Linked DNA regions of Callithrix jacchus. The protein of the gene in region 3 interacts with the protein of the main gene of each other region in a pairwise test. Links are inferred from orthologs where the notes say so. Each region holds a gene or a part of one and is shown on either strand. Other genes may lie near its edges.

The links.
Region 1: the proteins of OTX1 (region 3) and SPRY2 interact in binary tests that used the Homo sapiens proteins (3 or more experiments, as listed by UniProt). The two-hybrid records come from large-scale screens. The link is inferred for Callithrix jacchus from reciprocal best matches to the Homo sapiens genes OTX1 and SPRY2.
Region 2: the proteins of OTX1 (region 3) and VWC2L interact in binary tests that used the Homo sapiens proteins (3 or more experiments, as listed by UniProt). The two-hybrid records come from large-scale screens. The link is inferred for Callithrix jacchus from reciprocal best matches to the Homo sapiens genes OTX1 and VWC2L.

What each region holds. Positions count from the first base shown.
Region 1 is NC_133502.1:34,887,170-34,893,067, reverse strand, and holds the start of SPRY2 (protein sprouty homolog 2), read right to left. Parts: upstream 3,603-5,898; 5' UTR 3,097-3,602; intron 2,814-3,096; exon of another isoform or gene 2,336-2,813; intron 2,104-2,335; exon of another isoform or gene 1,949-2,103; intron 1,846-1,948; exon of another isoform or gene 1,807-1,845; intron 1,747-1,806; exon of another isoform or gene 1,211-1,746; intron 170-1,210; 5' UTR 119-169; coding exon 1-118.
Region 2 is NC_133507.1:136,203,278-136,209,127, reverse strand, and holds the start of VWC2L (von Willebrand factor C domain-containing protein 2-like), read right to left. Parts: upstream 3,603-5,850; 5' UTR 2,893-3,602; intron 534-2,892; 5' UTR 454-533; coding exon 64-453; intron 1-63. Other genes in the region: SPAG16 (sperm-associated antigen 16 protein), read right to left, coding at 4,365-4,540.
Region 3 is NC_133515.1:51,065,283-51,071,021, forward strand, and holds the start of OTX1 (homeobox protein OTX1), read right to left. Parts: upstream 3,901-5,739; 5' UTR 3,833-3,900; intron 3,483-3,832; 5' UTR 3,414-3,482; intron 1,854-3,413; 5' UTR 1,743-1,853; coding exon 1,646-1,742; intron 708-1,645; coding exon 556-707; intron 1-555. UniProt on the Homo sapiens protein: Probably plays a role in the development of the brain and the sense organs. Can bind to the BCD target sequence (BTS): 5'-TCTAATCCC-3'.

The DNA.
Region 1 (5,898 bases), on a different chromosome or scaffold from region 3:
CATGTACTTGCTGGGTGAGGGTGTCTCTAGGGTCGGGCTCTCCACGCTGTCTGCCACCGTCACGGGGCGTCTGCAGCAAGGGCTGCGACCCGTTGCCACTCTGAGCTCTGGCCTCCATCAGGTTTTGGAAGTGTGGTCACTCCAGCAGGCTTAGAACACATCTGAACTCCTGAGGAAGCCAAGAGGAAAGAACGGTTTATACTCTAAGATCCTTCCCACTCTCCGCCCACCTGAATTCACTCCTCACTTCCCACTTTCCCTAGAGAAACAGGATTTGAAATGGAATGACAGTGGGGAGGTATTAGCCATATGATCAATGACGCATGTACCCAAGTGAAAATTATGGCTGGCTACTGACAATTCTGTAATCCCGTGATGTACAACAACACAAAGCTGATCTTTGTTTTAGTCACTTAAGTAAGAATTCCTTATTCAAATAAACATACAGTTTGCAAGGTTCAGGTTCAATGTAAAAATCGCAAGAAAGTTTTGCTGGAATATAACACTGCTACCAACGTTTTCAGAAGTTGAAAATTCTTTCAAAATGTGAAATAGGTTTCCATTTCTCATGGTCGTTTCGCCTTAAGCATTAATAATGTAGCCTAGAAGATTCTTGGTTGTTAGCTTTTGCTTTTACAGCAAACACTTTATGACTTATCCGGTATTCTGTAACTTTTTCAAACCCAATAGAATGGATATGGCATGCAGAAAAGCAAAATGCCCATCAAGAACAATTATAAATTTTACAATAATCATGCTTTTTTTTATTAATTGTACTGTAGCACAAAGTTAGAGAACAAAAAGCAAATCAAATCCTATTGGGTGCCAGAAACACGTTAAAGCAAACTTACGCAATAAACAAGAAGACAATAATTTATTTTCAATTTCTTAACCATTTGAGAATTAAGTATTTTACATTCTGTTAGCCTAGAACACCACCTTGGATTCTGCAGCTGAAAGGTTGTTCTCCCTGATTTAGAAATAAAGCATGTCAAAAGCTCAACTAATTTTCTCTTTTCAAAAAAATTAACTGAGAACACAAACGAAGTCATAATAACCAGAAAAGTGTTTTAAAAATTCAAATGTCACATTTCACACCCAGCATTGTCAAGGAATTCCTTAAATTGCAGTCCCTCTTAAATTTCAAACGGATCACCCCCTTTCTCAAGCCTATATGACAATAAAAAGTATAAAACATGCAAAAGTGGACCTTTATCCAATCTCCGCTCTTTAGAATAGAGACCACAGCGAACAAGCCAGGTGACAAACGTCTCCCAGTTCGGAGCAAGGCAGAACTGGAAACCGGATCTCCTCACCTCCAAAGAATGGCAGAAGACAACCCTGCCCTATGCTTTCACTTAGTTTAACGCCTCTCTGCGCCCCAACACCGTCCCCAGCAGGTGGGACACAGCCGATCTCCAGGGGACGTTTCTCCAGGAGGACTGACGCTGTCCAAGGGCCAGGGTGCCCCCCCCTCCTCTTACGATCCCCAGACTCACAGACAGGCGGGGGCCGCGGGCGCCTCCGAAGGGGACGTGTCACGAAATGCAGGAGCACACTTCCCCCGCCTCCTTCTCCCCAGCTAAGATCTCCCCCAACTCGAGAACTGCTTTCCAGCCCCAAGGAGCCGCTGCGCCCCCAGGCAGAGGTCACGCCGCCCACTGCCAGGCTTTCTGCAAAGCCCCTCGGAAATCCGGCACAGGTTTCCCACCCCGACACCGCAAGCTCCAAAGCCCTGCCTGAGACAAGCAGCCGGGACGCGCAAGTCCAACCCACGCACACACAGCGACTCCACGCTGCACTGACCTAAGTGGACATTGCCTGTGATCTGCACACGCCTATCTCCTTTCGGGTCGAGAGAGAGAGAAAAAAAAATATCATTATTTCTTAAAGTGAAAGAAAATTTGCTTTTTTAAAAAAGGGCATTTTCCAGGGCCCCACTGCTCACTCCGGGCGTGCAGGATCCAGCTCCCCGAGCTGTAACTTTCGGTGCAGATTTGCTTGCAGTCAAAGTAGCATCTTTGGAATAAAAGGAGGCTTTTCTAGTTTTATTTTTAAGTGATTTCTGCCGATCCGATCCCTGGCCTCCTCCTTCGAAGCTCCACTCCCCACCTCCGCCCCTCTTCTCTTTCCCAGTCCCCCCTCCCCTTTGAAAGTGCTTTGAAACCCCCATTAAGAACAGTGTGTGATCAGACTAAGGATTAGGGGGAACGAACTTCAGCTCTAGGGTGGGGCAAACGGACACAGAAACTGCTTTGTAAAAAACACACAAGATTCCAAATTAAAACACAGCAACAACAAAAGGAAATACAAAACTGCCTCTTTTGCCACCTACTTTCAGGTAATGGAAATGATAGCGACCATTTGATGACTTTCTTCCTGCGCTGGGTCAGACCGAGCTTCCAAAAATAAAATAAGTGTGACCCTGGCTGACCACGAAGGACGGAAAAGAGAGAGAGCTGCACTTCCGAACCGCAGAGACCCGGCGCCAGGCAGGGCAACGCTCCCACCCGCTCCGGGCTAGACCGTCCACACGGAGCAGAGGCGGGGACTCCCTCCACCCGGCAGCCTGCCTTTTTCTCACCCTCAGGGTCTCCTGCCCCCGAGGTGAGCAACCTGCGTCCCCCAGTCCCACCGGCGCACCGCCTAGGGACAGCCTCACCCCGGACTTTGCCTTCCACTGAGAAGAGGAACAGGTTAGAAATGCGGGCGCCTGCAAAGGCGACCCGGGAAACACAAAGTGCTTTTCTCTCCCTCTCCCGCTCTCAGCGCCGAATTCGCGGCCAGTGCACGGCTGGGAGCGGGCTTCAGGCGAGCGGTCCTCAGTCCCAACCCCCTAGAGCGGGGGCGCGCGGGATCGCCCGCCGGGGACCCTGCACCCGGTGCATACACAAGTCCCCGCAGAGGCAGGCCGAGCCCGAGCCCCAGGACAGGTCCGCGGGTAATGCCCCGGACCCTCAGGGAGACCCTGCGGGACTTGAGAAAGGGAGGCTCGGGGACACACGGACCCAACTCCCGGTCCGGCTGCACCTACTCCATGTTGCCCAAAACGCGCCGGCTACGGCGCCAGGAGGGGAAGAGCCAAACGTGCCTCACCGTGATCGCGGCTTTGCACCAACCCCTCTCCCTTGGATTCTCTTTTTTTCTACGATGTGCAAATAAATCCAGTCTCGATGCAAACTTTTTTCCTTTCTTTCCAATCTGCTTCAGTCCAACTTCCGAGCCATCGGCGGGAGAAGAAAAAATAGAGGACAATTCGGAGCCAAATTCCCTGCTGATGAACACTCCGGGGTTCGGGGCTGGAGACGACCCCCCTTCTAGAAGCGCACGCGGAGTATTTCCTCTTTTTTCTCAATGAACAAGAGGCCGAAGCGCCAACGGCAAGTCCTTTTTCCTAGCAGATGAGCGAATGGGAAAAGAAAACGGCCTCACAGAGAACCTAAAGCCAGATCGCCAAGTGGTGCGGCCGGGGCCGCGTCGTAGCGGAGACAGCGCGGGGGCGCGGGCCGGGCCGGGCGGGCGCGGGGGCCTGGGCGCTGCGCGCTCCGCCGGCCCCTCTCCTCCGCTAGCGCTGCGGCGCGCAGCTCTCGGCGGTGCAGACTGGGCGTTGTGGAGGCGAGGCAGCAAGGCCGAGGCGGGGGCGGTGGGTGCGGAGGAGGAGGAGGAGGAAGAGGAGGAGGAGGAGGAGGGTCTGGGGCCCGGCCGGGGGGGGCTCGCCGTTGGCCTGCGCCCTCGCCTTTCCGGAGGAGGCAGGGAGCGCTGCGGCGGCCGCGGCAGCAGTAAATGGCGTCATGTGGATCCGAGGCGGAACAGAGCAGTTGTTGTCCCAGAGGATATATCGCATCCGGTCCCAGCTCATTGGCTCCGCGGGGCTACATTCACTCACACTCCAGCGCCCGCCAGCGCTCCGAGCCGCAGGAGGCATTCAAAAGGGCAACCGCGCCGCCCCGCGTGTCCCCAGGCCGGTTCTGCCGCCCGGGCACCGTCACGCGGGGCGCCCGGGGGGCCAGGCTGGGCACGGCAGGGTCAGTTTATCTAGTTTCAAGGAAACACTGACCTTAAGGTTTCCCCAGAGGCACCGAGGACGAGCCCGAGGCTCGAGCTAACTTAGGGAACTTTCTCTTTGGCACCAGGAAAGGAGAATGAATATTTAAGACTAATCCAGGCCACGCAGTGTTAGCATGAAAAACAAGTTGCAGGTTCTAAGACTTTATCTGGAATCCATTTCAAGTCTACCTCTCCCCATTTCTGTTCCCCTTTGCGGATGGGGTGAACCCGACTGAGGCCGGAGGAGCAGAAGGGGGAGGGGAAGGGGAGCGGGAAGTGAGGTGGGAGGGCTATTGGTTTATTCTTTGTCTACTGGATTAACCCGATTATACACCAGGCACCAGCACAAACCGCCTCCCCCACCTCCGAGCCTTGTACAGGAGGAACGGAATGCAGATTCGAGTTTCAAGTACCTTCTGCTCTTGCTGGGATTTGCTTTTGATTGTGTCGACTCGTAGTTTTTCCGTTTATTAGAATTTCATTTTTAAGGGGGGTTATCTATGTGTGGAGGCTTGTTGAGGAGTTTCCTTACTGTTTTGCTTCATGCAAAGCTAAAGTTTACCGTCTAAGCCTTTTAACTTAATTCATTAATAGACACAAACATGATTACTCAGGGCGACAGCATCGGCTTCCGAAATGGGGGGGCGGGGGGGGTGAGGGAAGGGTTGGCTCACTGTTTCCCTACAAATTTCCTCCTTCCCTTAACTAGAAGTCATCCTTCGTTTCCCACTTTTCTTGCAAGATCCTGTTGTCAGGTTGAAGGTGTAGTATTCTTTCCCACTTAAAAAAGATAGAAAAATGCATACCTATGCACTGCCCTACCTGCTGTTCATTTGCTGAGAAACGTGTCTGCACGTGGGAGCACCAGTGGAAAATTAAAACTCGCGCATACACACGCCTAATATTTCATTCTATCGAACCACTTACAGAATGCTTTTACTTTACAGGGAAGTACCTGCTTGTACGGTCAAAACTCCCGAATAGCACCTGAGATCTTGCCCCATGCAGGGTGTTTTTGAAAGCAGTGTTAGGAAAACATGGTGCTTTCATTCGCCCAGCTTTAACCCAATCCACTCGCAGCCACCCTGGAACTAGCCGCCGCCTTGTGAGCTCGTCTCTAGAATGTCTCCAGCGCGCTCTCTGCCTCGCTGCGCTCTCACCCTGCCTTCTCCATGTTTCTCTAGGGCTCTCCTCTTTCTCCAGGGATTTGGAACCAGAGATGGCAAGGGACGTAGCATGCGTTATTTCCGGGCGCTGGCCTAAGTCCCCCGACCCCTGGGGTGAGGGTGGGAGAGGCTACTACGGTCTGCTCCGGGGCGTCCTCGGGCTGCGGGCGCAGGACAGCTGGGCCTCTCCAGCCACAGCCGCTCGCCAGACGCCCGAATCCTTTGAGCCGCCAGTGAACGCGGGCGCCGAGGCGCTCGCGGCCCATACGGTCAGCAGGGGGCGTCCGCCCGGCGCAGGGCGGAGGCTGCTTTCTTCTCCCGGACTCGACGCGCGCCAGCTGGGTTACCTTCCAAAACGTGCGTGCGTTAGACAGGCTGGTTTAAAATGATACAGAGATATTCATAATATAAACGACGCAAAAGGTAGCTTTCCCTCCTGTCTGCTCGGACACATTCCATTTTGGACGCGAGATGAGGCGCCTGGGTTGGGAAGTACCCAAGCTTTTACCAACGGGAAGGAGCTGAGGGTCAAAGCCGGGTGGTGCAAGGCTGGGCGGGAACGCGCTGCCGGTGCGCTGCCAGCAAGTTTCTCCAGCGGAGCAGGTGAAAGCAGCGCCTTCTCTTCTCCTCTTCAAACTCCGGCACTCGATGGCGGCTTTTTAGGAGACACTTGTCCCCTGCTCGT
Region 2 (5,850 bases), on a different chromosome or scaffold from region 3:
GCAATTTACTAAGCACGTGGTATGAAAAGTTAATATTCAATAAATACGGAGGGTAACGCATACCTTAAATTCCTCCAAGATTTTGTAATTTTTCCCGTGATATTCACAGAAGTTTTTTACTTCTTTGCACTCAGGACAGCATCCATTGTGTTCCACTTTAGTACATTTTGGGTGAATTTTAGGGCATTCTGGTTGGTCGCAAACAGGTCCATCTAAAGCACAGACACATGGACAGTTGGAATGCCCGGGGAAAAATCGTTCTCCCAACTTGTATACAAAGCCGCTGTCATCGACACACCCTTTCCCTCGATAGTCATCAAAGATCAGATTGTCATTACTGGAGATCTGGTCACCTTCATCAGCAGGATAGTCTTCATGACTGATAGCAGCAGATGTGACCAATCCAGGGATTACCAACAGAAGTATGTAAGCTTCATGAATATGAAGAGCCATCCCCCTCTTCAAAGACTTCTGGATGTGCTCCTAATATTAAATATACTCAGCTTCTTCCATGAGAATACAAGAGGGGTAGGCTGAAAATAAATGTTTAAAAAAAATAATTTGACATATATAAAGTGAAGATAGATTCATTTAAGTCCATGCCCCTAAACTGTTTGGGATCAATTGGAAGACACTAAGACTTCAAATAGACTAAGTTCATGCAACTATCTATGCCTTACTGTGAAGTTTAGAGAGTTGATACTTGGCAATATATGCATTAAAATTTGTCCTTTTGGATTATTTTATATGGGAAACTTCAGCTTGAATTTTCCTTCTGAATTTCAAACATCTGGCTTTGTCAAGATTGCAAAGAAATGGTTTTACTGAGCCCTAAAAGGTGATTACAAGGAGTAACTTACAAATAGCTCAAGAATATTTGAACTCACATTTTCTGTTATTCTTTAAACTGGACTAGTCAGTGATGGAACATATATTGTAATCATCTGTATCAACTCAAGAGATTAGTGAAAAAAAATCAAATTCTAAAATGAAAGGAATAAACCAGCAGTTGAATGTAAATTGTAATTAGGATGAAGCTACTATAAAGGGTTTTTTATTTATGCCCATAATGGGAGAACAACGATGGTATCAACATCAGTTGCCTATTTCAGTGAACATGAATCTGGATTTTTGAAATATTGTTAATAACAAAAACAGCATGACTATTCCATAGCGATCAAGAGAAAAAAAACTTGAAATAATGAGATAAAATAATACAAGAGAAAATTTGAAATAGAGATAAAATAATACAAGAGAATTCTATGTGCTTAAAAGAAATTGTTAAAAACAAATGTATTTGTATTCTTGTCCACATTATTTTACATAGGAAGTAAGCTCCTTGTGGACAGGAGAGATCTATCTATACATTTATTTCACAGTAACTTAAATCTAGTGGATACATAGTATTATTTAAACATTTCAATATAATATAGTTACAATTTTTGAGTTCTTGAAAACATAACTCTTGAAATGTCAAAAATATTTGCTTGTAGGCCATTTGCACAAAGATGTCAGCTTAAAACTTTATGGAAGTTGCTTAAAACAGTAATTATTAACGATTCATAGAAAATATGACTTATTAATTTCGTGACACTGACTCTTGTAAATACCACTTAGTACTGGTACTTGATGTGAAGTGTTGGGAGTGGGCTCTTATTTAAATATTTAGAATGACTAGCTCACACAGAGGCTCTGGGAAAACTGTGACTTTAGGGAGTAATAAATAAGAAAAATTGTTGTCAAATAGCTTATTCATTTATTTAAATGTGATTGGCTTCATGCCAATGTTACTAAGATTGTATATAGGACATTTTCAGGTCAGTTATAAATGTTATCTATTGGTTCATCTTCAGATTATATTAAGAGCAATGAAAACCATCTCTTTTCACTTTAACATATACAGATGATAATTTAAAATACTATAAAGTGATATTAGGAAACTTCATAAACATATTATATTTGCATTTTAAGGTAAATATGCAAATTCTAGTAATAGTAAAATGGAAGGTAGTATGCTCTCTTTTCAGAGAAAGCTGATATTAGAATTCCTCTGATATCCTCTGATATTAGAATTCCCTTTGAGTAGGCAATAATAAAGCAGATGATTTCTTATAAAATATGTCAAAAATAATGAGTCATGACAGAACAAGAAAATGCAAACCTATAATTCTACTTGAGAATCTGGAAGCTCCCTTTGACAAAGCATTTTTTTCCTCTCAAATTACTACAGATATAACAAACATAACAGAAGCTTCTGAAAAAGCATAAATATAATTTACTAATTAAAGCAAGCATTTGTACATCACATATTTACAAAGTTTACCTTAGAGGAAAAGAAAGCTGCTGTGCTTCCTTATAATATTCTAGCAGTATCTGTCAATACATGCAAGATAAGCCATATAAAATACACATACGATTCTGCTTCAAAGGGACATAGACAGAAAATGATCTCTTTGTAAGCCACAGGTAGGCATTAATGTGTTAGGTTATGGTAAATGTAAACTTAGAGGTAAAATAGGAATGTAATATCTACTTCATATAAACATTAAATATGTTTTTATTATGTGAAATATATCTTAAAATCTGCATGGTAAAAAACAAGCTTTTATTTTCAATAAAACAAAGTTCTTAGGCTATTTTTTAAAAGGCTTCTTCATAATTGAGCTGCCCTACTACAATTTAAGACACTATTTATTTAAGAGAAGAAACATTGGAGAAATCAAATATAATGTGTATCTGAAGATGTTTAATAAGAAAGCAAACATTGCTAAACTGAGGATCACTTCCCATCTTAACTTTCCCCCCCTCCCCATATTGCTACATATGATTTAAAATGACTGCATCTATTTCTTTGAGAAAACAAACATAACTCATGTCGTAAGATACACTTACCTAATCACTCTGGAGGTTAATGGTGGAGGTAGGGGTCACAGCCCAAAATGAACTAAAAGGTCAGGTATGTTTTAGGAAAGCAGTTCTTCTTTAATTACCCAAAGAATACATTTTTAGGCATGAATTAAAGGCAATCCATTCTCTCTACCTCCCATTTCAAAACACAGTAAAGAAGCAGTCTCCCGCCCTTCCAGAAAGAAACACAGCAGACACACATAAGAAATTTGCTTTGGACTGGTCTTCAGAATTCAAAGAAAGAAGCAATGCTGGTCCTGTAGAAATCCAGACCCCAGTAGCAGAATCATGTTGAACTTATTTTTAGCATTTTCTTAGATCCTTCTATGAAATTTCCCGGCTGATTACGCCTCCTCCACACATGAGTTCACTTACACAGTGTTTGCTACGGCAGTAGAGGTGATTTGGCTAGGCTCTGAGGATCACAAACAGCAACAGCATGCTATAGCTTAAAGCCCACTCCGCTGGCAGTACCATCACCATCGTTCACAGTATGTTGCTTGAATCCCCTATTACACGCCGGAACATACTAACTGTGGACGTGAAGGAAAGGAGCAACTTTAGCTGGGTTTCTGCATCACTGAGAGCAGTTTGCAGATTGCTGATTTGGAGCTCATTCTGCCGGCAGCCGGGAATTCCTCAGCACCACGGACAGCGCCAACAACTGGCTTCTGAGCCCAGCTCTGTCGAAATCCCCGAGCTGCTTTAGACGAGGCTAGAGTGCTCTCCAAGCAGTCGCACTTTATACAGCGGATGCGTGCATCAGGAGTGGTAAAGGCATTCTATGTGCGAGATACTTATTTGCATTGAAATTACAAATAAAAAATTTTTTTTTCTAAAAAATTGTAATTATACCTAACGCATTCTTGGATGGGCTGCAGAGATGAAAGTTCCGGAAAAGGCTTGCATTTAGATTTAAGCTATCTGCAGTCCCTGATTATTATTAATAGATAAAGCATAATCATTGTCAAAGAATCTGTAAAAACGTACGCTCGTCGATTCTATTTGACCCTTTGGTAGCAGAAAGACTTGCCCGGTGCTGCATGATTAAACTTCAGTTCTTCCTGCAGCTTGGATCTGATTTTAAAAGAAAAAAAAAGTAGCAGGTTTTCCTGCAGTTTGTTCTCTAACATTAAAAATCAATCTCCTGTAATTCATCTAGTCTGTCATTAGGCGTCATTGTAAAGCTGTTTCTTTCAAAACCCCTAGCAAAGACGTGTCTCTAAATTCTGATCAAAACGAGAGAGAAAAAAGACCCCGACACAAATGAGTGAGCATAAAGTTATTTTTTTATTAGTAACAGTCTGAGCACTAAAATATATGTCCAAAGCACGTTTTAAAGCAAACTGTAAATGTTACCTGCTGGCACATTTAACCAGTTATTTACTGGTTTGGGACTACAGGAGGCATTTTCAAGCCTTAAAGGGAATACCCTCCGCAGCGGGATATGCTGACGGTCAAGACCACGTTCGAACTGTGCCATCAGATCCTCCAGAAAACAGAATCTCCCCGTCGTGAGAAAACACAACCGTGTGCGCCTCTCTTTCGTGGCCCAGCAATTTGTGAATCTGCCCAGATTTAAGATCTAGCAAATGGATAACACCATTGCCACTCGCCTGAGCTAAAACTCGACCTGAGAGAGACAGACAGACAGGAGAAAGAGAATGAATCAAAGTTTTATTTCAAGCGTTTACAATTTATAAGCAATGAAGCATTCTATTTTCTTTCAATTATCATTCTGTGTTAGATGTCAGTTATTAAATATAAAGTAGCTCCTGTAGGTATAAGAAATAAATTGAGCCAAAATCAAGACGCATCAATCATTAGATTATAACATTTTTGAATTGGGACATAAAGCCTAATGCTCTTTCTCCTTTATATGCAGAGTTCCTCAAATGTCCTACTATTCTTTTTTATTTGTGACTAATAAAGCATTTTGAGGATATGATTTTGAAAGCAACTATGCAAAGCAACATTCTTTTTCAAATAAATTATATGTTTAAAAGTTTTAAAAGGCATAGCTTTAAAAACTTATGGAAAACATATATCTGTATCTATATGAATAATTTATATTTTAAAATTTGTATTCTTCTTTAAACTTATTTTTTAAATTGTTAGTCATTACTTGCAACTTAATAATATACATTCCTGCTTTAAAAATTGTGATACTCATGCACTCAACAAATATTTTTTTTTTTTTTTGTAGCTGAAGTGGAAATAAATACTTCCATTTAAAAAGGACTTGGGAGGTTTTACTATAGCTTAGAATTCAAATTTTGTTAATTTTGTTTCTAAAAAAAAATACAGCACAGTATATTTGCATAATTTTTGTACCATATATTTCATAATGACTCATTTCCTCAAAGTGAAAACAAATCAGGGATCCAATTTTAATTAATGTTTTTATTAAGGACATCTAGTAAGAAACTATCATGGGATTTGGAGGTAAGTAAAAGCAATAGAATGTGTTTGCGTAAGCTCAGTACTTAGTGTAAATAAGTATGACATTAGTACTATCCATGGGACTAATCATACTTAGAAGGCATATTATTGTTTCAGTAATAATATTTAAAATTTATTAAACTCTTTTAATGTGATAGATACCATATTTAGTACTTGATATGGATAATTCCATATGATCCTTATAATAGTCTAATGATAAATAGTATTAACTCCTCTATGTAGGTGAAGAGACAGAGGCTTAGAAAGGTGAACTGATGACACCCTAGGTATAGAAGGAGCTAGCATTTAATCACAGCACTTTGAATCCAGAGCCTGGGCTTTTAAGCCATTATGTTTTCCACAACCAGCAGAGCATTGTTATCAGTGATGCCTTCTTGACAGATTTTAGGTAAGTGATGTATTGTGCAAATAGCATTGGTCCATTTTATAATAAGAATTCTAGAATGATATCACCATAAAAGCTATAGTGTAATATTTAAT
Region 3 (5,739 bases):
TATCATCAGAACCCTTTCATCTCAAAAACAGAAATAAGAAAGCCGGTAGCAGGGTTTTGCACTTGGCGTCCTTTGTAAGCAGAGGAAGCGTCTAATGAAACCCAGGCAGAGCACCAGGCTCTGGCCAGTCTCCGTTCTTTCATTTCTAGGATTCCCAGGGTGCAACCCAAGAGCAGAGGCAGAATTCAGGCCTCTGAGGGAAACTGCCAAGTCCTGGGTCAGGCGAAGAAGCAGGGGCAAGTGTCAGGCCCGCAGGGTGCTTTACTTTCGGGAGCCTCCCTGGTCCTCCTGCAATTCTAAAAAGGACTTTCAATACCAATACCTAAGGCGTCCTAGGGCTAAGGGCGGAATCTAGGGCTCTAAGCCATTTCCCTTAACTTTTGCCCCCTTTCCTGGCTGGGGCCCAGCGCTAGGGGGAGTCCGAGAGGGGCTGCCCAGTCTGTCAGCCCACCCCTGCAGGCCGGTCTCCTTCAGAACTCCCCAGGAGCCTTCCGAGACCTTCCCCGAGCAGCCACAGCGCCCCTACCCAGACCCTGGAGCCTGGGGAGTGCGGACCTGGACTCTGGACTCCGGCAGGTTGATCTTGAGGGCCACCTCCTCCCGCATGAAGATGTCAGGGTAGCGAGTCTTGGCGAAGAGCGCCTCGAGCACGTCCAGCTGTGAACGCGTGAAGGTGGTGCGCTCCCGCCGCTGCTTCCGCGGAGTGGCTGTGGGGACAGGCGGGGGCGCCGCGGGTCATTGGTGGCCACGCGGACCAGGGATAGTGAACTCTGGGAAGCCCCTGGCAGGTTCATAGCTCGGCCTTCTCAAGAGAAGCCGAACTGGGAATAAAAGAAACTCCCTCCGGCGGCCGAGCCTGAGAGGCCACAGGTGGGAGAAAGTGCTTATGTGCGACTAGGAGCCAGTGTCTCCAAGATTCGAGGGCTGCGTCTCTCCCTGCCTCCCAGAGGTTGAAAAAGTAAGAAAAGTTTTTCCCCCCTCCCCTGTACACACACACACACACACACACACACACACACACACACACACACTGGCTGGGGGACAGGGAGTGAGAAAGATGTAGGCACCTTTCATGTAGGAAAGATGAAAAACACTTTCAGAGAAAATAAATGGTGTAAACGAGTGGGAGCTAAAAAAGAAACCGGGGTTTGACTCAAGTCGTCCTCTACAGCAGTGCAAAAATGGGTGCAGGACATTGATTTAGAGGACAATTTAATTCGAGAGAAAGAATCTTCCTTTTTCAGTCCACCTGCCGTTTCACATAAGGAAAGTTTGGCTCCTTCGGTCAGGGCCTAACGAGTGTCCAGATTACTCATTCCATGTTGGGAGAAAAGGAAAATCATCAGCCGCCCCTTACTAGCAAATCCGCGGGTAAATGCGCTCTGCGCTGGCGATGGGACCACAACAGGAGAAAGGTTGTCGGTGACCCGGCCGGGAAGGCGCACGTTGGGCGTTTTCTCAGCCCTGGCCACCTCATGCGCCCACGAGTCTGCTCAGTGCGCCGACAGTGGGCCCTGTACTGTAAACAGATTAGGCAATCGGCTCCCTGGGCCTGCTCGGCAACAAAGCTTACACTCAAACCCAACAGTCTGAGGGTCCCCAACATTTGAGAGTCTTGGGCAGGGGCCGGAAGGCCGGTGCTCACCCGGATAGCCCACGGAGGGGTGCAGAAGGTCCATGGCAGGCCCGGCCAGGCCCAGCCCATTCATGCCGTATGGGGGTTGTTTGAGGTAAGACATCATGCTAACAGCTGGGTGGAGGCGCCCCGACAGATCCAGGGGGCCCGGGGCCAGGAGCGGTGCAGGGCTCCCACTGCGCAGTCCTTCAGGCTCTGATGCGTCTGGGGGCCTGGCCTATGGAGACACGATACACACGGAAACCATCAGTCGGAGGCACTTGGCTTTCAAGTCTTGTCCGGGGATAGACAGGGAAGGCAGGTTACAGAACTCCGCAGGGTGGTCAACTAGCCTCCACAAGGACTTAGCCCAGAAACCACAGTTGCTTTGAAAAGTAAAGTTTTCTAGGTCCTCTAGCTCTAGGCTCGGAATGGGCCAAAGATACTGGTAGGGAGTCCATAGAGTAAGAAGTTAAAAGCAGGGCCAGGCTGGGAGGTAGAGCTGGAAACACAGAATGTACAACCTCCCAAGTCCAGGCAAAATTCTGAGTCCGGCAGAAGCCGGCTTCATGTTGCACAAACAAAAGTTCACTTGGTGCCCGGGGCAGGGCGCCCAGAGCATGCAGGGTTGTTTCGTTTTGTTTCAGTGTTTTTGAAAAGGTAGAGACTATGAAGGGCCAAGGTGAGGCAATGTGGAGGACTAACTGCACCTCAACCTCTTATGCACCTAGACACTTGGTTTCTTCTAACGCGTCCAGGGCTGCGTCCCTGCCCCAGAGCCCACAATAACCATTCCAGCTAACTTCTCTATGCCCAACCACTGAAAAATCGCTGACGCGGAATCACACCACACTTCAACCGCAGCAACGGGCCCAGGCCGCAGAGGGCCAGAGGACGCTGAAGGGAACACTGTAGAGGGGGCGATCCCAAGACGCGGCCTGAGGTCAGGAGCGCCTCAGCTGCGGCCATCGCCCTTCGTTGCCAGCGCGCACCCGTCCTTCTCTCTGCCCAGTCTGGGCTTCTGACCACATGGTCCCAGCAGGGGGTGAAGGCTGGGGCCCAGCACCTTAAAGGGTCTCTGAGATTTGCGAAGCCAGAGGGCAGCAAGTTGCATGCTGCCATCCTAGTAGCTGAACCCGAGGCCCCAGGACACTGTTGAGAACAGAGAACTAGGCCTCAGCGGCAGAGCCCACGCAGACCCGAGCTGGGAGGTCGAAGCCTTGCCCCCGCTGCTGCCGAGAACCCAGGCGCCACTCTCAAGGGTCAGGGAGGGGCACTGGAAAGTGGGCCTGGGGTTCTAGGGGGCCGTCGCTACACCCCGCTTTGCGGGATCGCTGTGAAGCAGGCCAGGGACTCGGGTTAGGACGTTTAGGGAGAGAAGTTGGAGTTAAAGAAGCTCCCCCCAGCCCCGTTCCTGCCCCCGTCCTCTCGGACCCAAGGCCAGAGGAGGAGTCCAGCTTGTAGGGAGGGAACGAGAAGGGAAGCAGCCAGGGCTCTTAGGCCAAAGGAAAATGGGACTCAAAGCTGCGACGGCTCTGCGAGGCTGCAGCCTGAGTTTTCAAAGACTTTCTCCAAACTTAGCACTTCAGCTCGGTTACTTCGGAGGAGGCGGGGGAGGGGGCGGCGGGCCGCGACAGCGCCCCGGGGTCCTCCGCGCACCCAGAGGGGAGTCAGGCCGCTCCCCCAGCCCCGCCCACCTGCTGGGGCTCCGGGAAGCGAGGATCCATTTGAGGAGGGGGAGGTAAGGGTAACCAACGCGCTCCCGGAGTCCCGGGTGGCCCCGCGGCTTTCTCCTTACCTGCCCTCAGCTGCCGGGGCCGTTCACCATCTACCTGGATCCCTCACAGAGACCCGCCGGGCAGCCAACCTGCAAAACAGAGCGGCACAGGAATTACCCCGGCGGCTGGTCTAGGACCCCCGGTTTCTTTCTTTTCTCAACTTCTTTCCTCCCACGTCTATCTTTTTTTCCAGTGGCTTTGTGCGTGTCCCTAAGGGTTTCACTTTATTGCACAGACACTTTGTTTGCTAAGCCCCACGCGTTCTCAGGACATTGCCTGACCGGGAATCGCGCCGAGGGGCCGCAAGGGGGGTAATTCGAGTGGCAGAGTTGGGAGGTGGCTCGGCGTTGCCGCGGCACTCCCGATACAACGTGGAGGCAGTGGGGACTGGGAAGTCCTGCACAGTCACTTTGCAAACTAAATAAATCAAGCGATTTACCTTGTCGGAGTGGCTTGTCTTGCTCGGTTGTTTAGGTGATTGGAAATGTAGCCTGATGAAGATTGATCACCTTTCTACTGCCCTCCCCGGGTATGTGAACGCGAGGCGAGTGCGTAACGGGGCTAGGCCGCCAATCGGGGGCCCCGCGCGGGCTGAGTGACAGGGAGCCGGGCAATGGCAGCGCGAGCCGGGGGTTACCTCCGCGCGCCCCCGCCCTCCCCCGCCCCCCACTCCCCGCCTTCCCCGCCCGCCCGCCCGCCCCGCCCCGGTCGCGCGCTAACTCGGCTGGCAAAAGCGGCGCAGAGCTAGCCGAGGAAGGCGAGCGGAGAGCCGGAGTCCTGGCCGCTGAGGGGACCGCGGGTCCCCAAGCCTGCCCTGGGCCCCCCGGCCCTTCTCTCGCGCTTTAGGCGCTCTGGAGGGAGTGGCTCGGAGAGCGCGAGGTGCTGGAGAACCGGTTCCTTCGCTCTCCGAGGCACTACCAGGCTCTGCCGCCCGGATGTGGGCGCCAGGACTCGGGGGCGGCGGACTAGAAGAGCCCGGGCGTCTGCCCCTCTCCCGGCGCCGCGGGCCCCAACGTTTCCTTCCTCTGCGCCGCCACCTGAGACCGACGCCGCGGGCGGCTCGTGCCAGCACAGGCTACTTTGCAGAGCGCGGGAGCAGCTCCGGGCGCGCAGATCTCTCTTCGGCGCCTCGGGACTCCCGCGCCTGAGAAGAGCACCCACTGGAAGGGCGCCGCCACTTACCTGCTCGTCGGCCTCTCCCGGGGTTCCCAGTCCCCACCAAGGGTGTTTACAAGTCTTAAGCGCTTCTTCTGAAACATTGGAACCCAGCGTCCTCTTCCCCTCACACACACACCCTATTTCTTAATTCAAACATTTTGCTAGGAAACTTTCTTTTTCACACTCTGTCTTTCCTAGTCTCCCTCTAACAGGGACTTTTAGATGAAAAATGTGGCCACAGACCCCTGCCCTCAACTTTTTTTCCACATGCTGCGTAAGGAGCCTCCTTGAGGCGATTTCCCCGGATTGTTCGTATATGTGAAGCCCATTTCCTAGCCGAACAAACTTCCCAAACGCGTCTACCTGGGTGGACTTTTCAAAGTGCAAAAAAAGTGTTTTCGTCCCAACTCCGAGTAAGGCGAATCTTTTAAATGGCACCTCCTCCTGAAAATTAGGCACTTTATTACCTTTCGAGGAATTTCTACCCCTTGTTTCTAATCTCCTACTCCCTCACCCCGACAGGAGTAGTAAAAAGTTTGCAAAGGAGTAAGTGTGAAGGCGAGTCAAGGAGCCTCCAGGCGCATCGCAGTGGGGAGCACCCGCGCAGCCCGGGCCGCGGGGTCGGGCGCCGAGAGCAGACCGGGCGCTGGGCGAGAAGGAGGAGAAGGAAAGGGGAGCCCGCTGAGTGAAAAGGGGCCGCGGCCGCCGCTCATCAAAGTGCTTCCCCCTCCCCCAAGCGACACTTTCCTTTGGAGTCCGAATAAAATACGGTAACAGAATATGATGGAGGGCACACTGTTTCCTTAACTGCTTCTCAAAGGGCCCGGGAGATCTTCTTAGGACCTTTAATAAGGCTTTGGTCGGTTCTTTTGTTGATCTCTCAAAATCAACTCCTTCTAATTGAAGTTGGAGCTGAAAGCGAGCTAATGTTCAAAGAAAGTGGCCGCCAGACCAACGAAATTACATTTTTTTTTTTTACGATGAGGGAACATCTAATCAAGGGGGCAGGGGAGGAGGAGTGGGAGTGGGGGCGTACGAAGGAGAAAAGGAGGTTTTACAAGATCCTTCTCTGGTTCACAAAAGTCAGCGACACGGGCGCTTCTCTCCAGAACAAAGAAACCACGGCCCATTCACAAAAGGGAGATAAAGAGAGAAAGCTGAATAAAAGAACGAGAGAAATGGGAAAAA